2 linked regions of the Danio rerio genome follow. The protein of the gene in region 1 purifies or fractionates together with the protein of each later gene. This does not show direct contact. Links are inferred from orthologs where the notes say so. Each region holds a gene or a part of one and is shown in the gene's direction. Other genes may lie near its edges.

Region 1 (3,500 bases):
ACAAAATTTTAAATATTTTTATGTTTTTCTTAATTTATTATATGATTGTGAGGGTCGTGTTGGACTTGATGTGACAAGTTTTATATCACTGTATAAACGAGTATATATTCTTTCTGAAAATCAATATTTTGATCTTTTTTTTGTAAATATATAGGCTATACTGTTTAGTGCGTTTAAACAAAATTGCTTTACTAAACAGTTACGTTTATTAAAATAAGTGGCTTGCAACACAAGCTCATTCTGAAAACATACCCGTGTGTACATTTCTGGAGATCGCGAATTATGTAGGCAGAGGTACATAGGGCTGCATTTTGTCTTTAAAACTAACGCTACAGGGCGGTATGACGTCGTTCCTTTTCGTGCTACCAGCCGACAGTTATCTCCGTATGGCCGGCTTTACCGCTGTTATCAGTTTGCCCAGTTAGTTCACCATGTACATTTACACACTTGAGACGCAGAGTGTGGTTGACCACGACGATGAGGTTTGGGTTTGTCGAAAAACACTTCCAGAAAGGGAGTAAGACAAAAAACAGAAGCCAAAAAATAAAACAAGCAAGTAAATAAAAGGGTGAGAACGTAGTAAAAATCTGAAAATGTGGTAAAAATCAGACGAGGACTTGAATTCTTTTTCTGGATTGCTTTTTAAAACACTGTTGGTTGGGTTTAGAGAAGTGGGTGGGCGAAGGAGTAGTCAGTCAGTCGACAGCAGCCTCTGGTGGCTTTACATGAGGACAGCAGGGACAAATGGCAAGAAAACTGAGATATGAAAAAGCATACACAACGCCCTCTGGTGGATTCGTGAAAACAAAAACTGCAACAAAATGTAGCTCCTGGGACGTATTTGGAGCTCTCCAGAAATGTATACAGTGGTACTTTTTCAGAATGAGCCCCCATTGGTCACATATTGCTAAATATCTGTAGCAATAGAAACTAAAAGAATTTAACTCAAAAACAAGCTACAAAATCTCAACTAAATTATGTTTTTAATCGTTCTCTTGATTTATTTTGTTTTAAACTCATTTTTAAACTGTGATCTTAGGCTCACAGATCCCTCTTTTAAATTAATGTTCTAGAGGATGATTTACGATAATATATTTGTGCATATGCATTAGCCAAAACTGAACTAATCTAACGGAAAAAAAATGAGGATCAAATGAGCACAAACAAATGAATTTGTTGGGCAAAAAAATATTACAAAATTGTATTTTAATAAACATGAAAAAATTAAGTGAAACATTTTTTGTACATTTTATTTAGCTGTTTTATTTCTTTATTTTGCAATAACATGTACATTATCTTTCTATTCCTAAGGATGTTTGGTGACAACTCTTATTTCAATTAATATAACCATTCAATAAAACTAAATTTTGGTGTTTAAATGCACCAAAATATATTGACTATATCAAATGGATAGAAATGTTCAATTTCACTCATTTATGCTGAGCACTGTATGCATTGTAGGCAGGGCTTTACATTAACTTTTATAATTACCGGCCACCATGGCTAGTAGTTTTCCAATGTTACTAGCCACTCTGCATTATTACCAGCCACATCTTTGTTGTTGGTAAAATATATTTTATATGCATAAATTTGACTTTGACATGCTAAAATGACTTGATTTAAATTTTGTGTCATGCGTCCTCATTCATTTCTCTTTTTGTGTGTCGAGTATGAGTTTGCTCAATGAGCATGATAAAATGGGTCATTTTAAATGGGTGTTATATTGCAATTAGTTTTTATTTCACATGACTTTTTTTAGAGCTCAAAATTAACGATTTACCAAATTTATCTCTATAACCACACGAAACAATAATTATTTCTTAGCCACAAATTTTTTATGTGGCATAACAAGCTAAATATAGCTGTATCCTATACTTTTTATTTAACAAAACATTTCTTAAAAAATAAAAAGAAAAGAAATTGACTTTTAAAAAATATCTATTGTCATGTATCAAAAATATGCACAGTAATGTGTCGTGGCTAAAGATCTCTCAGATCACCAGTTGACTGCACATAAATCTCCCACACTGCAAAAAATGCTTTTCTTGCTTAGATTTTTTGTCTTGTTTCTAGTCTAAATATCTAAAATTTCTTATATCAAGAAGCATTTTCTAGACAAGCAAAACATATCGTCTTGTTTTGAGAAATAATATGCCAATATAATGTAAGTTTTTCCTTAAAACAAGCTAAATAATCTGCCAATGGGGTAAGCAAATTAATCTTTTTTTTTTTTTTTTTTTTTGACGTAAGATTATTTTGCTTACCCCATTGGCAGATTATTTTGCTTGTTTTAAGGAAAAACTCACTTAATATTGCCATATAATCTCTCAAAATGAGACCGTGTGTTTTGCTTGTCTAGAAAATTCTTCTGGATTTAGGAATTTTTATATATTTGGACTAGAAACTAGAAAAAAAAAATCTAAGAAAAGCATTTTTTGCAGTGCATTAAAGCAATGTTGTTAAAAAATTATAATAATTAAACCATTTTAAAAAGGCAAATAAAACCGTAAGCAAATAAAAGCAGGTGAAACATACCGTGTGTGATAATGAAAGGATCACATGCACACGGTTAACTTTAGGCCATTTAATAATCTGTTCAAACTGAAAGCAACCGGTGCTGCGGGTGCATGTTCATCACTTTTTGTCTAGTTTATTTGAAAGAGAACCGATGAAAGTTGCGTTTCCAGATCCTGTTCCAGACACGGTGCCTTCATATGAAATATGAGTTTACTCACCAAACATCTTTAGGAATATAAACATAATACTAAATGATATACTTTTAATGTTTCTCTTGTGTTATTAGTGTGCAAATTGGACTGTGATCTCAAGCTCAGAGATCTATATGATAATGCAATAATATATTTGTGCCTTTATATTAGATTAATAAGTCATGAAGCCAAAACTGGAGCATACAAATGTTCATCTTCACTCATTTATGCTGAACACTGTATGCATTCTCTCCATCGATCTCCTATATTATAATCAAACTTCCTATTATTCCGTCCTCAGATGTATCAGTCCAGCCCTGGTGGTCAGTCATCATGCAGCAGCGAGCCGTCACCGCTTGGCAGTGCCAGCCTCCATGGCGGTGGAGTAGAGCCGGCGGGACTCAGCGGGGGCAGCGTGGGAGATCTGAGTGCCCTGGATGACGTGCCCATTGTGGATTCCACCGTCTCCACAGGAATCCTGGGCCTTCATTTGCGCAAGAACGCCGGCCCGGCCCACAGACTCACACACCTGAAGCAGGAGAAGCTGAAGTCGGTGCGGGACTCGTGCTCCTGGGCAAACACAGCTCCTCCTGCCCCCTGCACCAAACTACCACCCATCAATACTGGTGAACAAACTACCTAACTAATTTATTTCAACTGACGCTAGGGTTGGGTGATTAATCGAATTAACCCTTATGTACTGTTAAAATGTACTACCCTTTGGTTTTGTTGGTGGCCGTTTTTGTCCAATTGACTTCCATTATAACCAAGCAATCAGATTTACCCATCAGA
Region 2 (3,500 bases), on another chromosome or scaffold:
ATATCCAAAGATTCACAGCTGGAGAATTGCAGAAGTTATTTGGTTGACTCAAGATTGACTATTTGATGTAACCTACATCACCACAAATAATTTGAAATGGCTTTAAGAAAAAGCTTCTGCTTTCATCCAAAACCAACTCAAATGTCTTCATTTTTTATTACTATTTTTTAGCAAAAGATTAAAAGGTTGAACAACACACAGCTTTCTTTGCTTATATTTACAAAGGTTGTTGAATTCAGTCTAGGGCACTGCATTTGTGTCTTACTACATTTATTTTTTCGTGCTGGGGCATTGTGGAAATTGCAGATAAGAGTAGTGGATTTTGAATGCTGTTGCTTTATAGAAGGCACGAGGGAGCTCAAATTGGCTGGGATGCTTTGTGCTGTTCTTATTTTTCATTATTCAGAAATGAAGTTTGATTTCTCTTCTGGTTTGTTTGCAGTGCTGGAGGTCCATGGTTAATCACTGACATGAGAAGAGGAGAATCCATATTTGACATTGATCCACATTTGCAAGTAAGGATTTTTGTAGTGTGCATGGTGCTAAAAGAATAGCTTATTCGCAGATAAAAATACTTATAATGATGTTCCTAAGCTTACAGCCCTATGATTTTCATAGTGCAAAAAATGTTGGTGGAATTCAGTCATAAAAACAGAGTTGGCTGCATAAGAGGCCGTTCACATTTCACATCTAAAACTGCATGGAAAAGGCGAGGCTTCTCGTTTTCTTGCATTTTAATGCGCTTCTGAATCACTTCATAAGCGATTTGTTATTATTATAGTTTATCATTATATTATGTAAAAAAATAAAATAGCCAGCGTCTTTGTTTCTGAATAAAAGTTTGCTTTAACTTAAATGTAAATTGGACAGAGATAGAGCACATTCTACTGGACAAGGGTAATCTATCACCACTACTACTGCTACTTCTACCACTACTACTAATATTAGTAACTTTTTAAGAAAAAAACTAAGCTTTTTCAGTATTACCTTGTTTAAATTTTCTAAAAAATATTTTTATTGAATATTTATTGAAAAACAACAACAACAGCAAAAAACGAATAGAAAACAAATTTAAACTGGAGTGAAAATGCTGGTAAGCATAATGCCAATAAAAGAGAAAACGGTAAACAAAAAATAACTGTGCGCAAGCATTGTTTTACACGTATAACCATGACTGCACATCTGCAGCGCCATCACCCAGCAATATCACTGTCTGTAGGCAGGATAGCAGAGAAGGTAATAAAGTCCTCCAAATAGCAACAATTCCCTCGCTGAATCTACCCAACTGGTTCCAAGAGACACATAAAAATAACTAAGGCAGTGCGGGTGTTTGTTGCTTAAGATTTGCAGCCGTTTTCGGTGATTGGAGATGTGGGCTTTTGTCATTTTATAAAAGCACTCGATCCGTGTTACAGACTACAGTCTCGCATTTTTTCAGCACCGAGATAATTAGGATGGTTTATTTATGTTTACCTAAGAACAAATATGTTTATTTAAAATGACCAATTTATCCTTATTTAATTCACATGTATGTTTATTTTCTAAATGTAGGATTCCCCAGTTTGTACATGGGCTACCAGCAGCTGTGAGATTTCAGTGTTAATTTTTTTATACAATGCACTAGGAACTAGTGTACTTTTCTTGGCTTTTAAGTAAAACAAAATAAGTATTGCAATAAACTGTTTATATTTTTTTCTCCCTTACCTCTTACTGTCCCTATTGCCTATTGAATAATAAAAACACACATGTGTCAAGCCATGAGAACCGAACCAAAAACCGTGTTAAAAAACTGAGGTATGTATTGAACCGTGAGCTAACTGTATTGTTGCACTACTGTGCACTTAATTCTGCTCAAACCATTTAAGTCGCCTCCATTTTCCACGTGAGTGAAATTATTATATGCTTGTATATTCCATATCTATAAATGTATTTGTTTATAAAGGATAATTTATCATTTATAATTACTTGAACTTGCACTCCAGAATCTGATTGATAATCAAGCGCATGTGGTCAGAACACAAACGTGTCGCAGGTATAATGAAGTGTTTAACGTTTCTCCTAATGAAAAAACTGTCTAAGCAAAATGATAGCATGGGTCTGTAGCTCCGTCATTTTTGCCCTTTTTGGTATCCCCACGCCTGGTGGGATGACGCCCGAACAAAATGGCGTTGATTGGCCATGCCCACTTTTAGCTTTGTTTGCGCTCTTCAGAAACCCATGGGTGACGTCACGGATACTACATATTGTTTAGTCTATGGTGTGTATGTCTGCGAGAGAAGCAGGTCAGTGCTGAGCTCAGTAATATTCATGACATGATCCATATATGGTCAGTTATAGACCTTCTGATTCTAGGGCTATTTTATGGATCAAAACATGAGAATAAAATATATATATATTAAATTTACTGACGTCATAAACCTGCTATGTAGATATCAGAGAATAATTTTAACTTATTAAGCTAATGCAGTATTTGCATTCTTTAAGTTAAATATTGGATATTTAATTTGTTTTGCAATTTACACTACTTATGTACTTTAAACAAAGTTTCAAATGTACACTTTAGGGTTGAGAGTATAGCCTGTTTAGATATAGTGCCTCATCCAAGCTAAAATGGTCTTTTCCTTGAAATATTTGCCACCTTTACTCCCTTAACACAGTTTACATCTCTCAAGTAACACACAATTTTAATTCCTGGTGATTTAAAGGTATAGTTCACCCAAAAATGAAAATATACTCACACTGTGCACACTCACACAGTGAAGCTTCAGCATTGAAAAGGTGGATTTGTAATTAAGTCTGGCCTCTTAAACTGGACCCCTCCACCTGCTGTTAGTCCTCTGCTCTATACACTGAGACGGACACATGTCCAGCCACGCTTCTCCCCTGCTGATATGTGCGTGTGTTGATTGCTCATCCAAAGCAGGAACGAGTGGATAAGGGCATCGAGACGGATGGCTCTAACCTGAGTGGGGTGAGTGCCAAGTGTGCTTGGGATGACTTGAGCAGACCTCCCGAGGACGAGGACGACAGCAGGAGCATTTGCATTGGGGCACAGCCACGCAGACTGTCGGACAAAGGTGAGGCATGCTAAGGACAAATGCAATTTAAGAACGGCTCAACAAACCAGCTTGATTAAAATACAGTGTCTCAAGCAGGGATTTTGTTTTTCTGTATCAATATAGATTTATGCACAAACTGAAAATCACAAATACTATTCTTAAAGGGATGTAAAATAGAAAAAATAGACAAAATAGTAAAAAATAGAAAATCCCTCCACTTATTCTACAATATCCATACAATATTGTATATATTCTACTATGCCTGTACAGTTGTTGCTCGTTAATTGCAGGAGTTACATTCTAAAAATAGCCTGCTATAGGTGAAATCCATGAAGTATTCCGCTTTACTCTTCACAATTATTATAGATGTTTTAAAGGAGCAGTAAGGCATCTGCCTAAATGCTAACATTTAGCACAATATCTTTTAAATACAGTCCCTCT

What was found. Proteins that work in one complex are often made in the same cells at the same time.
Region 2: the proteins of gli2b (region 1) and sufu purify together in Homo sapiens (affinity purification with mass spectrometry; 3 studies listed by BioGRID and IntAct, with this or other methods). This does not show direct contact. The link is inferred for Danio rerio from reciprocal best matches to the Homo sapiens genes GLI2 and SUFU.

What each region holds. Positions count from the first base shown.
Region 1 is NC_133186.1:46,393,157-46,396,656, forward strand, and holds part of gli2b (zinc finger protein GLI2b), read left to right. Parts: intron 1-3,009; coding exon 3,010-3,334; intron 3,335-3,500. UniProt on the Homo sapiens protein: Functions as a transcription regulator in the hedgehog (Hh) pathway. Functions as a transcriptional activator. May also function as transcriptional repressor. Requires STK36 for full transcriptional activator activity.
Region 2 is NC_133188.1:12,265,192-12,268,691, forward strand, and holds part of sufu (suppressor of fused homolog), read left to right. Parts: intron 1-442; coding exon 443-515; intron 516-2,920; coding exon of another isoform or gene 2,921-2,923; coding exon 2,924-3,077; intron 3,078-3,500. UniProt on the Homo sapiens protein: Negative regulator in the hedgehog/smoothened signaling pathway. Down-regulates GLI1-mediated transactivation of target genes. Down-regulates GLI2-mediated transactivation of target genes. Part of a corepressor complex that acts on DNA-bound GLI1.